Linked DNA regions of Xenopus tropicalis. The protein of the gene in region 1 interacts with the protein of each later gene in a biochemical or structural test. Links are inferred from orthologs where the notes say so. Each region holds a gene or a part of one and is shown on either strand. Other genes may lie near its edges.

What was found. The genes of interacting proteins can lie anywhere in the genome.
Region 2: the proteins of tnrc6b (region 1) and ago1 form a complex in vitro, tested with the Homo sapiens proteins (2 studies listed by BioGRID and IntAct). The link is inferred for Xenopus tropicalis from reciprocal best matches to the Homo sapiens genes TNRC6B and AGO1.
Region 3: the proteins of tnrc6b (region 1) and ago2 form a complex in vitro, tested with the Homo sapiens proteins (3 studies listed by BioGRID and IntAct, with this or other methods). The link is inferred for Xenopus tropicalis from reciprocal best matches to the Homo sapiens genes TNRC6B and AGO2.

Annotation. Positions count from the first base shown.
Region 1 is NC_030680.2:121,672,582-121,678,726, reverse strand, and holds the start of tnrc6b (trinucleotide repeat-containing gene 6B protein), read right to left. Parts: upstream 3,730-6,145; 5' UTR 3,678-3,729; coding exon 3,469-3,677; intron 1-3,468.
Region 2 is NC_030678.2:81,796,925-81,802,638, forward strand, and holds the start of ago1 (protein argonaute-1), read right to left. Parts: upstream 3,748-5,714; 5' UTR 3,636-3,747; coding exon 3,611-3,635; intron 1-3,610.
Region 3 is NC_030682.2:146,754,884-146,760,710, forward strand, and holds the start of ago2 (protein argonaute-2), read left to right. Parts: upstream 1-2,080; 5' UTR 2,081-2,318; coding exon 2,319-2,340; intron 2,341-5,827.

The sequences.
Region 1 (6,145 bases):
TCCTCCCATCCACCCTCCACAGTCTGCAGGATTTCCTCAATGGGGGACCTGACAGAATTAGTCATCCTGCTGACCTTTAAGGCAAGCAATGCTTAAATCCCAATTGGCAAAGCGCAGATGCCTACACCCTTCTATCCTATGCAGAATTCAAGTCACAGAAGGCAATGCAAACCCATTGCCAACCCACCTACTTTAAAATCCACCACATGCGTTTCCCCTTCAACTAAGTAAAATCTGACCAATTTCTAGATCCACTGCATTAAGAGCAGAGACTCATATGTGTCTGTCAGAGCAAAACTGTGCAAATCTACTATTCTTAGTTTTTTTTCCTGTCAGATAACATTTTCTATACTGATTTGGTATATGTCTTCTGAGACATAATCAACATAAAATGGTAACAAAACTATAATTACACTAAGAAGTATATTTATCATGCTGTGTAAAAAGTGGAGTAAAACATTATTGGTGATGTTGCTCATAGCAGCCAATCAGGTGCTTTGCTTTGATTTTCTAACTGTTGAAATCTAATTGCTGATTGGCTTCCCTGGGCAAAATCACAGGTAAAGCTTCACTCCACTTTTTATACAACATGATAAATATACCCCTAAGATACGGTGCTCTAGATTTTTCACTATATTGAATTTGTCACACTGGCAATTCCAGTATGAGGGGAATGTGACCTTTTTCCATATATCTCTGTTTTCAGGGTTACAGCACCCCCCAAACTACTAGGCCAATGTCACTAAAAAGCAGGCAGCAACCCAACTTCCAGTGCTCTTCTCTATAGGAGTGCGCTGTAGCCCAACTGCATAATGCACCCCTTCTGATTTTAACTTTGTCTTTGTCCACACCAAGTTATGGCACTGTTGAAATTCTGCAATACAATTACAATTACCACCACTAATTTTGAACTTTTTTGAGGTGTTATTACTTACACTGAGAAGAATCTCCCCATCTGCCACGGCCCTAACAACTTGTTTTAGGAGCTAAACTAATACAAAAGGTAACAATGCTTGCTTATGAATTATATCTGTCAACTAGATGAGTACAATACAAAAGATACCTGTCTAGGCACCTACTGAAAACCTGAATGGCAGCCCCATGGCTACACAGACATTAACATAAACTTTATTTTAAGCATATATCACCATGGGTGCCTTTTAAGGTGGCCATACACGCACCGATATTATCGTACGAAACCTCGGCATAGGGCGGATATTTTCGGCAAAAGTAGAGGAAATACGCATAAAAACACGAGAGTTTGAAAGTCTTGCATTTTTATGCGTATTTCGGCTACATGTGCCTGCACCCGAGCGTATTCCATTCATTTGGGTGCAGGCACATGTAGGAGGCGTAGGGTGGTATTTGCAGCAAGCGCTTTTCCGTTTGCCGAAAATATCCGCCCTGTGCCTTCGTCTGGCATTAGCCTGAATACAAAACACCAGGCAGCTAAGGTGTGAGCGCTTTTTGGCCTAATTTTCAGAATACAAAGCCACAGGAAGGGATCATGTGTGCTTTTTACCAATCTGAAATATGCCAGGCTGAAGGTAACCATATGTGGCATTAACCTTTTAGCTATTGCTTATACACAAACAAGATATATATATAAAATATTTAATACACACAATATTTACTGTTTTGATGCAACCGGCCTTTTAACATTACATATCAATATATTAACCTTTGAACTGCAGTCATGAGAATAGGCATGGCACTTCCACTGCAGCATGTAAACTGCACCTTGTTAAATTGTATTTATAAACTGCTCTTCGCAGTCACGTGTATACAAGAAAACTACTGCAAACTACGTTTAAATTCACCCTTAACTTTGTTAATGTGTTCCAGGACCTTAATAAAATATGTTACACTGCTGGACTAACACAGCAAGTATACAGTGGGTAAGGATGTTACTGCCTGATCCTCCCCCTACAACCCACTTTTCATAGTATAGAAGGGTAATTAGGGGGTGGATCTTTAGTAGCATACAAATGGATCACTCAGGAAGGCTATGAGAACAGAGGTGGTTGCAACTTTTACAGGCACAAAACACAAGGCTACCCTTGGAGCCTATTCTGTCAGGGTGACAGTGCGATGAGGCTGCCAGTACATTGTTATGCTGATACAATGTGTTTGGTGATTGTAAAGGATAGGGACATTCTTACTCATCAAAACCTTTCTCCACGACTAGACTGTCCTGCAATTAGTAACAGATGGGCTACCAAATGTCCAAGGCTAACAGCCACATCCGTGGCACGCAAAATGAAAATTAGAGTAACAAGCAGCGCACAGAAAATACACCAGGCTGCAGAGCGAGCCACACAGCCGCACCGGCAAAACCTTGCTGAAAATCACAAAGGCAAAATCCAAATACATCTCCTTATACATTATAAGAATTACTTATTTCTAGAAATCCAGAGAGAATAAGAAAGGAAAGTATATATAATATAAGGGAAGGAGTTTATAAATACATGCTTAGAAAGCATATGGGTCTTAACTGCAAACATCTCTCTCTCACCACTATATATTTTTTTATATTACCACTAATATAAAACCCCAAAACCTCAGGGTAAAAGCACATACTGCAGATGGCTGCAGTTTGCACATATACAGTAGCTTATACGCATTCAGCCTTGGAAAAAAAAACATGCCCCCAGCCCCCACTACTCGCCCTCCCTTCTCCTCCTCCCCCACCCCCCTCCCTTCCTTCCTTCTCTCTCTCTCTCTCTCTCCCCTCCTGTTAGGCCTTAGTGGCTTTAAAAATGCAAATCCAAAAATCGCCAGTGCGGATTTTAGACTAAAATAAATAAATCTGACCAGAATTAAAAAAAAAAACCAAAAACAAAACAACAAAAAAACTTGCATGTGTAACCCAGGAGGCACAAAAAAAAAATTACAATAAACAGAACGAGGTCAGAGGATGTAGTGAATGTGTATATATGTATATTTTATAGAAAACCAATTTATCTCTATATCACCACACTGCATATTTTGGTAGATCATAGCATGGAAAAAAGCCTTGAGTAAATACTAGGTTTGTTTGAAGTGTAAATTAAGAATCACAGACTAATCAACGAAAAAAATGTATATATTAAAAAAAAAATTATATATATATATAATATTTTTTTAATGAAGCAATTGAGGCCAAGAGTAATTCCCTGTAGTAAAACATACTGCCCATTCACATTAGCTAAGAGTGTAGCAGCATATATATATATATATATATATATATATATATATATATATATATATATATATAGGGAATCTTTTGCCGTGACAAATGGGTATGTACACAGCACAGCAGAAAGGAAAGCAAACAGAAATGAGACATACAGAGAAATGCAGGGAGAGCAGACAGGAGAGCAGATATACACAGAGCGTGTGTGTGCATGAAATCGCACACGGTACAGACTGCAAAGGACAAAACGGCTGGGGATGCAAGGGAGATAGATATTATAAAACAGTACTGACCTTATAAAGTGCAACTGTGCTATAATCCAGCGGTTTGAGGCATACAAGGTAAATCCAGTACAAAAAAAATGAACGCAAGTACACAAAATAAAAATAGGCAAAAATGCAATACACAATAATAAATTCCAAACACACTTGTTTATATATTTCTGTTTTCTCCTCTTTAAAGGGAAATGTGCATAAACGAGAGACTGGCAGCCATTTTGCATTGAACGTTCTCTCTGCTCTCTCCTCCCTCTCGCTCTCTCTCTCCCTCTCTGAAGGAAGCTGCTTTTTTTGTGACCTTCAAATAGAGGCAGATCATGTGACCAGCCAGATCTGTCAATCAGAAGCGCCAGGAGGGAGTGAGGGGAGGGGCCCAGGCAGTTAAAGAGCTAGTCCCAGAGCTGTCAATGCTGGGGGAGAGCTGCGCCTGTCCTACTAAGCCTGGGCAGTTTTCTCTCTCATTTTGTTTTTTTTTTTAAAGGTACAGTAGTGCTTTAAGCAATTTTACTTAGTAGCCAATGAAGTAAATTGACATTTCAGTTGAAGTTAAGCCTCACAACATACTACTTATTCCCCCTGCAAAATATTGCCTGTTGCATTAGTGTCGGCAACGCTTTGGGGAACCTACAAAGACTGCAATATACAAGATATGATTCTGGGACAATTCCATTTCCAGTCACAGCAACACAGCCAATCTTGCTCTCTTGCTGAAACTTTACAATATACATCTGAGAGAACTATAACACACCCTCTTACATAATAGCAACCTGTTCTCAAGTGTCCTGCTCATATATTATTATACCTATAATGACTTAGTCAGAACAAGCGCCAAACATTGCTCTAATTATTACACATAAAACCTGGATTTCCAGAAAGAAAATTAGCACAACAGCTTTAGAAGCCCAGAGATATAGAATGTGGTCAGAGACATACCTCAAAACCAGAACTTACACAGCATGTGTCAACATGAGAGCTAGACTGAGGATACTGGGAGTTGTAGTTCACAAAAATAAATACAAGCTGACAGGCCAGATGTTTGTGACCTTACTTTAAAATCAGGCGAACAGATAAAGCAAACAATAAATGCACATATATATGTATGTATGAATATATTTTAAAAGTTTATGTGGACATTTAAAGGGCAACTCCAGCTTCTGAACCAAAGTTTGTTAAAGAGCCCCAACAAAAACTGTGGGATTTGGAGGATACAGGCAGCCTGAGGAGAGTCGACTACTGTTACATTCTCAAAGTAGCCAGGCAGATCAGCAGGAGAATGGGGGCTAGGCTGAGGGAACCTTTTCAAACAATATTATTGGATTAAAAATCCTGAAAATGTTGCATTTTTTTAATTAATTTATAATGCAAAGTTATTTGAAGTTATGTTTACTTTTCAAAAAGCTTAAGTTGTGCTTGGGTGGAACACCCTTTTAATTGTAATACACGCATTACAGATATAGCACTGGTTATCAAACTTCAGGGGCTATGATAAAGTAGTGTTGTCATATTTCTGAGATACCTATCTTTTGATTGAGAGTGATCTGGAATTATTGCCATAAAGCAAGACTGGACCACTGCTTTTCAACAGACAGGAGATACATAAGCCATCTCTATGCAGAAGCATTTAGCACCCCAAGTGACCGGGTCACTGATGCAGTTTCAACAAATATAAGCCTGCTCATTTTTTATTTTTTTTTTATAGTCAGCTGCAATTAAAGCAAAAAAGTTCCTGCCATGGGTTACTGTCCAGCTGCAAATCTACCCAGTGTAAATAAAGGATCCTTTGTATACATATTTATTTATACATGCATGTAGAACCTTATTTATAAAGCCCTACAATGATATGCAGTCCTGTACAAGTTTGTGTGTAGTTACACATACTATTTTGAACAATCGTAAATGGAAGATCAATAGCAAATGACCCTCCAATAGAACATCGATCATTGAGAAACCTGCAGCATGACGTGTCTTTTTGCAGTCTTCTTATTTAGATCAAAAAAACAGACTGGAACAATTTGGCATGCATGTGTGGTAAAATCTCAAGCGATTCTATTTTCTGGCTCATTACTTTAAATAGCACAAAATTAGCTAGTGCTTAGCTTCATGTGGGCTAGTAACCTCAGGAATCAATAAAATAGACCCGTGCCATAACATGAACAAATCTGGGCAGTGTTTTAGGTTTTACTTGTCCTTTTAAACAGAGATCCCCAAGTGACAGATGAAAATGTCACTGCGCATCAGGAATCTCTGCCCAATACATCCAAAAGAATTCAGTAACCATGTAACTAGGGCATCTATGTCAGCTACAAAAGCTCTCAGCTAAACCATACTTATCTGCCTTCTCCCCCAGTTAATATGGAGGTATATGACTGCAGACTGCATCATACTGAGTGTGGCCTTTGCCTGAGACACAGCTAGGCTTCCAGGGAGTGGCACCACAGGAAAGCCATTCACTGTGCAATGCAGGAATCTCTAATTACTATTGGTATTGTACAATCTGCCCCATTGACCGAAGCAACCTGTGAGATTGTTTTCATTTTCAAATTTTTAGTTGCATATTGGTTGCCATTATAATTTAGCACCTGTTCCCCAATACTTCATCAACAACTCTCAGATATTTGACTTCATTCATGCTAAGTTAGGTTGGGGGGGAATGGTTCAAAGGCAATTTGCATCCACTTAGCACACTGCACTG
Region 2 (5,714 bases), on another chromosome or scaffold:
TTTTGGGGGTTGTTATCACATTAACCATATCTATAAATCTCCTTTCGCAGAGACTGTAACTATTTCACAAGCAGTGCAGTCATACATTTCACCATATAAAAAAAGCAAGTGTTATAATCTATTTAAACTGATGCACTGATGCAAAATATGTAGCCAAGATAAAATTATTCATTTCACTTTGCCTTGTGGGTCTGCACCCTGGGGACTAGACAATAACAGAGTGCAGAGGTCAGTCGGGTCATTTTTTTTCTATAGACTCGAATTAGGATTGAATGCATTCTGAAATCTGATTGGTCATATCATGTTGTCAAACATACTCTCTCATGCAAACTTTCTCCTTAACCTGAACAGGCCTGTTGGAAGGAATCGTAGTACACTGCAGCATTTTTCCACCACCCAGTTTAATCCAAATTAATTTATAAGGTGTACATTAGTTTAAAACTCTGCCACTTGAAAGCATTTGACAAGATAAGTTACAGTTTGCTAAAACCACTTCCATTTAGAATGCATGTTATGAACAGATGTGGTTTAGCTTTACTGCAAAAATTGTATTGATAGGCGTCTTTCAATCTCTCTTTAAATTAAAACATGGGTTTTGGAATGAGAGTCCTCCCATCGCTGAGCTAATAGTCTCTACCTTTATAGGAAGGATTTGCATCAGATGTTGGAAAATTACCGTTGCATTTCCTTCTAATCAGCCAGAAAAGCACTGGTGATTTTGGGCAATCAAACCTGACACACATTCGGCTTTGCAATACATTCCACAGGCATTCTTGTTGGGTTAAGGTATGCCAGCCAAAGTCTTCCACTACAGTCTCAGAAAATGAATTACATACATGCAGCATTATCAGGCTGAAACAATGAACAGAGGTCCCTAAACTGTTGCTAAGCAAATATTGTCATTATTCTCTATATTCTCTATATTGTTATGGTTTACTTTCAGCAGAACCAGGAACCTTGGCACCTTTTCACTCCTCTACCAAACTTTAGGGTTGACATTATGGGGCCGATTCATTAAAACACGAGTTCGAATCCCAAATGGGAAAAATTCGGATTGGATACGATAATTTCTGACGATCGCAAATATCACGAAAATGCTTACGATAATATCGTATTGGTGATCCGAAAGTCACGAAATTTTCGTACCGAACAATTGTAAACAGCGGCAGAACCTTTCTGAATTTTTCGAACAAGCATACGAAAAAGTTGTGTACGAAAAAGTAGTGCTAGCCTGGCATCAGCCAAACACGGATTGCCAGATTAATCACTCCAAAGAACATATTACCACTGTTCTAGGGTCTAAAAGCAAGAACCTTTACACCACATAAACCAACATTTGCCGCTACATACAGTTATCTTACAACAACCCTTTTTTTTATTTTTTATTTTGAAATAAGCATACAACATACAGGCTACTATATGGGTATTAAAGTGTATACAAAGAATCAAGACCATGAAGTAATGGAGCATTTTGGTAGGACAAAGATAGCGGACGTCTATATAATAAGTAGTCTGTAGGCATACCGTAGGGGGCCACAGAGGTTCCCTTTCGGGGCCACTCAAGGTCTCTGTCTTATATAGTCTTATATAAACACACACACAAAAAAACTATAACTATGTACAAAGGACATAAGACCTTGTAGCTTTTCTGTGTTCGATGTCCATGGTGGTTTTTACAACAACCCTTTTTAAGTAAAAACAGAAACCCCTTTAAGTTTTAGAGCTGCTGTGTTGAGTACTCTCAGTTCTATTGCAGGCTTTTCCATATTTTTAAGCTGGTCCTATATATATATATGTCACCTCCCACAGCACCCCCTATATGGAACATGCATTTGCAAGGATAAAATCCTTATCATTAAAATAAGAGCATATATATTGTAAACTAAGAAGAGGTTAAAGAAAGAATACTTTTGAGTAACATGATGGATGATAGCTAAATTGAGGGATCACACTCAAGCCTATCTTCTATTGCTTTTTACAATACCCCTTTGAAACAGTACAGGTATAGGATCCCTTATCCAGAAACCCATTATCCAGAAAGTTCCAAATTACAGAAAGGCCATCTCCCATAGACTCCATTATAAACAAATATTTTTTAAGAAAATTATTTACTTTTTCTCTGAAATAATAAAACAGTACCTTGTACTTGATCCCAGCTAAGATATACCTAATCCTTATTGGAGGCAAACAAGGCTAATGATTTTTAGCAGACTAAAGATGGAAATCCAATTACAGAAAGATCCCTTTATCCGGAAAACACCAGGTCCTGAGCATTCTGGATAACAGGTCCCATACCTGTACCATGTACATGAAAGTATTGAAAGCAATGTACCTCAGACATGCCCTTTCGGTTTGGGTAAAGAAGTACTGTGCAATTATTAGTATAGGTGTATTAAAAAGGGAAGGGCTGTAACTAATTTGTGATCATGAACAAGGTAGTACAAATTGACATGGCATCTTGGTCACTAGTTTTTAAAGAAGTCCCTTTCAAGCATCAATTCCAACCTTTCCCAATTCAACTATTTACAGTCTACTTTTAACTGCCCAGATCATGGCTTAAAGTAGCACTATCATCAAAGTATTAAGTATTTCTACTTGAAAACAGCAAAAAAAAAAAAAAAAAGTTATAGCTTTGCATTCCTGGTACAAATAATCATTAATTATTCTCACTCAAAAAGAGTCACTGGTTTGAAATATCTTTTAAATTACAACAACTTGGTGATTAATTTACACAAAAAAAGAGGGGAATTATAGGAATCATTTTAGACTATAATGAGTATGATTGCAGCTGCCTGTAAGGGATGACAAGAGAGAATAATATTATGATATTTGTGCTAGGCAAATAGAACATAACTGATAAAAGATGGCTTTATGCCTAAATTAAGTTATAAAGCATAGGAAGAACATTTCCATTTATGCTTGATGCTGAATCGACGGCCCAAAGCAGTGAAGCAAATACATAAATGTGAAGAATCTTCTTATACGGTGGGTGTTAAGTCAACATAATGGTTGATTAAAACAATAACCTTCAGTGCCATGCCACATTCGGTGACATTTATGCACGACTACACACATACTTTGATCTTTTGGACATTGAAACACAGCCCAAGTGACTCCAACATACCAGTATCTATTAGTATTAACAAATAAAGAAGTGACATATTCTGCAGCGTATCCATCACCACATACAGATGATATACAAATACAGCTCCATGCAGGAGTTAAAGAGGGCCCTGCCCAATAGAGCTTACAATCTAAAGAGAGGTATCAAACAAAAAATATAAGTTAAAAGTTATTTTTTTTTTTAAAAATGAAGTAGAAATAATGAAAAGTCTTCCCACATGTTATCCAATAAATCACGTTTATTCCCTTCTGCATTCAGACTATTTCTCTCCCTCTGCACTTGCCCCAGCCACATCTCCCTCCCCCTCGCACTCCGCTCGCTTTTGGCATGAAAGAAACATTCCCAATTTGCATTTCTTTAGGGGGTCTCTCTATCAACATTAGTTGCAGTCTGTTAGCCACTCACCCCCACCCCCCTTCCCTCCTCAATACAACATTACATCTCCCCCTTTTATACACTGGGAAGCTAGCAACATCCCCTGCTCACCTGCAGAAGAAGGTCCAGCTTCCATCCCATCCACACAGCTTAATATCTGGTTTTATGTACAATGTAATGTGGCTACTGTCTCCCTGTTCTGTTGCAGCTGCCTGTTCACCAAGCTCTAAGCTTCAGGCGCATGCGCTTTAGCACTGCAGCGCGTATCCAATCAGAACGCTTACAAACCTCGCAGTTTTTTTTTCTTTTTTTGCAAATAACTTTATTTAAATAAGAAGCATGCTGTGCGCGCACACACGTGGAATAGTATTTATTTATTGTCAGTTACATTATCATTGTCAGCCTCACATCCTCACCTAGAATTGCGGATAGATACAGGGGTTACTATTAATCATCACTGGTGTACCTAGGTACATAGTCCCTGTTTTCTAATCCATCCCTTTCCGCCTTTTCAGCAGCTCGCTCATAAACAGACTTTCTCGGTGCAGAAGAGGGCGTCTGATATATGATGCAATATGTCTCCAGTATATACCTTTCCTGTATTCCGCAGGGGAATGTTGCAATTCGATGTCCCTTTAACTCCAGAAATAGTTACATAGGGTTGAAAAAAGACCTGGGTCCATCAAGTTCAACCCTTCCAAGTAAACCCAGCACACACAAACCTATACTGACCTATCTACTGTATACTATCACATACAGACCCATAGTGACCTATCTATATACTCACATACAGACCCATACTGACATATCTATACACTCACATACAGACCCATACTGACCTATCTATACACTCACATACATAAACCCATACTGACCTATCTATACACTCACATACATAAACCCATACTGACCTATCTATACACTCACATACATAAACCCATACTGACCTATCTATACACTCACATACATAAACCCATACTGACCTATCTATACACTCACATACATAAACCCATACTGACCTATCTATACACTCACATACATAAACCTATACTGACCTATCTATACACTCACATACATAAACCTATACTGACCTATCTATACACTCACATACAGACCAATACTGACCTATCTATACACTCACATACAGACCCATACTGACCTATCTATACACTCACATACATAAACCCATACTGACCTATCTATACACTCACATACAGACCCATACTGACCTATCTATACACTCACATACATAAACCCATACTGACCTATCTATCCACTCACATACATAAACCCATACTGACCTATCTATACACTCACATACATAAACCTATACTGACCTATCTATACACTCACATACATAAACCTATACTGACCTATCTATACACTCACATACAGACCCATACTGACCTATCTATACACTCACATACAGACCCATACTGACCTATCTATACACTCACATACATAAACCCATACTGACCTATCTATACACTCACATACAGACCCATACTGACCTATCTATACACTCACATACATAAACCCATACTGACCTATCTATACACTCACATACATAAACCCATACTGACCTATCTATACACTCACATACAGACCCATAATGACCTATCTATACACTCACATACATAAACCCATACTGACCTATCTATACACTCACATACAGACCCATACTGACCTATCTATACACTCACATACATAAACCCATACTGACCTATCTATACACTCACATACATAAACCTATACTGACCTATCTATACACTCACATACATAAACCTATACTGACCTATCTATACACTCACATACAGACCAATACTGACCTATCTATACACTCACATACAGACCCATACTGACCTATCTATACACTCACATACATAACCCATACTGACCTATCTATACACTCACATACAGACCCATACTGACCTATCTATACACTCACATACATAAACCCATACTGACCTATCTATACACTCACATACATAAACCCATACTGACCTATCTATACACTCACATACATAAACCCATACTGACCTATCTATACACTCACATACAGACCCATACTGACCTATCTATACACTCACATACATAAACCCATACTGACCTATCTATACACTCACATACAGACCCATACTGACCTATCTATACACTCACATACATAAACCATACTGACCTATCTATACTGACCTATCTATACACTCACATACAG
Region 3 (5,827 bases), on another chromosome or scaffold:
TTTCCTCAGACTGCCCCTGGTCATTAAAGGTAACAGTAACACCAAAAAATTAAAGAGCTTTAAAGTAAATAAAATATAATATACTAGTGCTCTGCACTGGTAAAAGTTGTGTGTTTGCTACAGAAACCCTACTATAGTTTATATATAATAAGCTGCTGTGTAGCCTTGGGGGCATCCATTCAAGCTGGAAAAAAGGAGAAAAGGCACAGGTTACATAGCAGATAACGGATAAGCTCTGTAGAATACAATAGTGTTTTATTTGTTATCTGCTAAGTGCCTGTCCCTTTTCTCCTTTGAATGGCTGCCACCATAGCTGCATTCTTTATATAAACCATAAGAGTGTTTCTGAGACAAACACCCCAGTTGTACCAGTGCAGGGCAGCAGTACATTATATTTGAATTTCTTTTATACACTTGAATTTTTTGGTGTTACTGTTCCTTTAAGGGTCACTGACACTCTGACTTTGAGAGCGAGGGAGCCAAAATCTCAAAAACCAGTAAAAACAGAAAACCCATTTATATTGCAAGTGTGCTCAGGTTAACTCAGGGGTGGGCAAACTACAGCCCGCGAGCCACGTCCGGCCCGTTGGTCTTTTTAATCTGGCCCGCTGATTCCGCAACTCTCATCACGCGAGACTTGGCGTCAAGACTGCATGTAAGTACCTAGGGGACTGGCACGCGGAGATGGCGCTGGCCCGGCCCGTATGTCAAATTTTCAAAGTCGATGTGGACCCTGAGCCAAAAAGTTTGCCCACCCCTGGGTTAACTTCTCAGAGGCACCCCACCCAGTTTGGTTTTAGTTCGAGAAGTTACAACACCATTCGTTTTCCTTATGTATACATCTTTTGACTTTTACTTTACACCTCCCAGCAGCTCAGGACTCTGAGAAAGCAAGACCCCGACCCGCACAACCCCCCTAACGCCCTCCCATTACCTCCTCCCCCCTTCCCTAAAGGAATGATACACAATGAATCATACTTGTATACTTTATTGATGTAACCACACACAACTTTGTGAATCATTGACTGTAATGTTTTATGATCAATAAAAAAGTTAAAATACAAAAAAAAAAAAAAGAAATTGTGGGATTCTTTCCCTGAAGGGCTGGTAATGGCAGATACATTAGATAGCACTAGGAAAGGGTTGGGCGCCTTCATATCAGTGGAAAAATACAAGGTGTGTAACATTGAAAGTGACCATACACGGGCCAATTTCATCTGCCAATAATGGTTCTTTAGACCAATTCAGCAGCTTATCTGCCCAAGTTTGGGCACCCGACCAACATCTGGCTGAAATTGGCCAGCTTTCAATTGAGCAGGTTTGATATTTCTGTGGGATCCGACAGTGCCTGTTACTGCCGTCTAACCACCCGTCGGTGGGCATATTGGGGGAAGATCCTCGCCAAACAATCAGATCTTAAGTGTATGGCCACCTTAACTGTTAGCCCAGGTCCATCCATGAGAAGAAATAATCTATACACTGCTGTCTGGTTACTGGGTACCACTCACCTTAGCAACCAGACAGTATTTTACATTTCCAAAAGAAATCAAATAATAAAGAAATTCTAAAAAAAAAAATGCCCTTCAAATATTGGTCACAAACGCAGAACCGTATAGTCATTATATTTATTACAGGGTGTATGGCTTATGGGGCTGCTCAGCCTAACAGACAAAATGCAGATGACGAAGACCAGACATAAACAGTCCATTGTCCGTCAATGTAATCGCTTTAAGCCCTCGGATAAACACAGTTCGCGGGCAAAGGCAAAGTTTAGCGCTTTATCGATTTGCCCATACCCAATATGGCAGAGCACTCACTTCCGGCGAGTAACCCAGCGCCGCTCATTATTGTTGAAAAATAACCAAACCCGCCGCGTCTGGCCCCGCCCCCTCCCCCTTATTTCTATTACAAGCTAAAGAGGAAAAAAGCTCCGCCCAGCAACAGCCGCTTTCCCTTTTCTCCCCGGCCAGAGCTCCGCCCGCGTCGTGTGACGTCACCCCCTTCCCTCCAATGCGCCGAGTTCCCGCCCCTTGACGTTGCGTGTCCCGCCCCCCAGCCTCTGTCCGCCGGCCGTTTTCCCCTCAGTTCATGTCGCGCAAAAGAAAGAGAAAAAAAAGGAAAGAAGCGAGAGAAGCGAGAGGCGGGAACTCGGCGTATTCCCTCCCACACACCGTGCCTTACACCATGGAGCCCTAACGGACTGACTGGCCGCTCTCTGAGGGGTTCTGTGCACAGCGAAGGGGGCGGGACTGGCTGCGTTACCCCCTGTGTCTGGAACTTTATTTTCCCCCTCGCACTTCGCTCTTGGGGCCGCAGACATGTACGCCGGGGCCGGGCCGGGTGAGTTAGCGCTGCTTTATCCCAATCCCACTGCGCTGGGAGAGTCAGGGCCCTAGAAGCCCTGGAAACGGCGGGAGGGCCGCCTGGTCACATGGGGAGCCGGAGTGGGGGTCATTCCAACTTGTGCCTCTCCACCTGTCCTTCTACTCTCCAGCTGCTAGGAATGCTGGGAGCTGTAGTTCAGCAACAAGTGGTGACAGAGGGGGACTATCAGTTTGCAGTTGGTCTTTATTTTCATGATATTGTGTGTTTAACTGTTTTAGTGCTGCATTTCAATGCTGACCTAGGAACCCTAAATTGTAGTATGGAGGCTGGGCATATATTGTTTATTATGTATCTTTCTATTGGGTTTCCCCGTATGTTTATCATTTGTCATTCAGACTGCGGTGTAGTTGCTAGGGAACGTGGGGCCTTAGTAACCAGGCAACCATTTTAAATTCCTAGCCGGAGAACAAATCGCAAGTCATTAAAAAGCAGGAAAACTAAAAAAAAACACAAGTGCGAGTTGTAGTAGGAATACTTTGTCTGAGGGGTCCCCAACCTTTCTTACTTGTGAGACACAGCCAAATGTAAAAAGACTTGGGGAGCAACACAAGCACCATAAATGTTCAGCCAAATAAGGGCTGTGATTGGCTATTAGGCACCTCTATGCACCCTATCAGCTTACAGGGGCTTTATTTGGTAGGAAATCTTGTTTTTATTCAACCAAAACTTGCCCCCAAGTCAGGAATTCAAAAATAACTCCCTGGTTTGGGGGCACTGAGAGCAACATCCAAGGGGTTGGGGAGCAACATGTTGCCCTGAGCCACTGGTTGGGGATCACTGTACTAAAGGCAATGTTAGGGTGAGCTGCTACTCCGACTAACAGATTGTGGATTCATTTTAATTGTGAGCGTTTTGTCCTACGTAATTGTGACCCAGACACTCTTGCATGTGTAACTATGAGCAGCGCTGGTAAATTGGATTCATCTGAAGGAAAAAAATTGCAAACCAGTAGGTAAAGGTGGCCATACACCTTCAGATTCGCTCGTTTGGCGATGTGGTCAAGCCAGCGGATCTTCTCCCAATATCCCCCACCTACGGGTGGGCGATATCGGGAGAATCTAGGCTAATTTGACTTGAATTATAACGACGGGTATAGGCAAAGTCGGTCCGGGGACTGCATCAACTAGCCAATGTGGTCCCCGATCCAACTAGATTTTCTAACCTGCCCGATCGAGATCTGCCCGATTTCAGACCAGATATCGGTCGGGCAGGCCCGTCGGTAGTGCCCATACACGGGCAGATTAGCTGCCGAATCGGTCTAAGGGACCCATATCAGCAGCTAGAATCGGCCCGTGTATGGGGACCTTAAAACTCACTCAGTAGCACGATTCAGCAATGGGTGCACATCCAGCAGGGGCCCCCACTCCTGGACACTTGCAGCCATAATATCAATATAACACCCCAAGCTTGATAGAGAGCCAATAAGGCTCAAAATGTTGCTGTTGCCGTTGTAGTGATAATAGTCATTTTAATGCTATTATGGAGTGCTGCCTGTAACGGTTTTAAAAAATAATTGTATGGTGTTTTAAAGGACAAGGAAACCCATGTGTGTATCATGTACCCCCTGCAGAGGTTTCCATCCCACCCATACTGCCCAGATCTGCCCTGTGCCTGTTAAACAGATGCAGAGTTGTGTAGTGGCAATGGGGGCTGCCATCTTGGGATGCACAACTAGAACTTGGAAAAAACAAAGTGCAGCAAATTTTCTGTATTAAAAATTAGCAATGGCTGCCGTCTCTGGCCGCTTGATGTCCAGCTCTCTTGGGGCGGTTGTTGGCCAGGAGCCTGTGCAGTTGAGGTCAGAATCAGACAGAAGTGGGCACAAACACCAATGCACTAATCTGTGTTTTACTGAAAGGTCTTGGCAAAGAAACAAGGGGGGTAAAGGTGGCAATAAACAGGCCAATTCTAGCTGCTGATATTGGTCCTTTAGACCGATTCGGTGGCTTATCTGCTCGTGTATGGGTACGAACAATGGGCCTCCCCGACTGAGGCCCTGAAATTGGCCAGATGTTTGTGCTGGTTTGGTTTCTCCGTTGGATCATGGTCCGCGTTGGCTTGTTGACGCAGTCCCTGAACCGACAGCACCTTATACCCGCCATTCTTATTCAATCTTTTGGCCCCAGGGCCAAATTAGCCCAATATCGTCCACCCGTGGGTGGGGATATCGGGAGAAGATCCACTCGCTTGGGGAGCGGATCTCACCATGTATGGCTAGCGTAAAGGTGCATGATTTAAACATGGCTTAAGTCACATGATAGTAAGGGTTCTGAATGGGGTTCTGTTAAAAGAAAGGTTTTGTGTGATTGGGCTGCCTGCCATAGTCCAGCATATACTGCTAGTTTGGCTGCTTTTGAATGGGAGCATTGCACGTGTGTTTGTTGCAGGGAAGTTGGAGTGTTAGCTCAGCTGGGGCATTAGCCGGTATCCATTATACATTCTCTGTGCAGTGTTGGGGCTCTGGAATGTACGTGCACCAGTTGTAAGGCTTTCTGTGGTTGGTGTTGCTGGGTTCCTCAGACCTGTAACGTGGGCAGCTTGGCACTAGTGTAGTCACCTATAGCACCCAGTCCTATTCAGACCTTCTATTCTTCCTGCAGCTGGGTGGGCAGAACTAATTACTTTGCATTACTACTCAGTTCCCACTTTTATTAAATGAGCCCCATAGTGTATAAGCCTAGCGATCTGACAGTAGTGTGTTACTAAGGGCTGAGTAAGTGTAAAGCCCCCTCTCCTGTCTGCTGCATGGTCTCAGAGCAAATTCTGCGGATACCGCCGGTTTTTCCTTTCCTGTCCCTATCTCTAGAATTGCAGCAGGTTTGTGGGTCACCTTATCAATGACGGCACTAATTTGTATTTATCTGTTAATCTTGCTTATCCCCCACCCATGAGTTCTGTTCTGGGTGGCTTGTGGTACAGTAAATGCTGTAAGCTCCCTGTGAGTTTATTCAACTATGTTTTCTGCTATTTTGCAAAATGATAACACTAATGTTTCTGTCTTTTGTTTATTGCCCCACGTGTTGGATTTATAAACACAGGCTGAGAATCCATCCCTGAGCTGGCATTGCCCTTCCTCCTTGCCTTTACCCAGAACCACCTTTAGTTAATGTTAAAGGGGTTGTTCACCTTAAATTAACTTTTAGTATGATGTAGACATTGATATTCTGAGACAATTTGCAATTGGGCTTCATTTTTGATGGTTTTTCAGTTATTTCACATTTTGTTCAGCAGCTCTCCAGTTTGGAATTTCAGCAGCTATCTGAGTGCTAGGGTCTTATATATCGTAGCAACCAGGCCATGGTATAAATGAGAGATGCAAATATGAATAGTAGAGGGCCTGCATAGAAAGATAAGTAGTAAAAAGTAACAACAATAATAAAATTGTAGCAAAGTTTTTGGCTGCCGGGGGGTCAGTGACCCCCATTTGAAAGCTGGGAAGAAG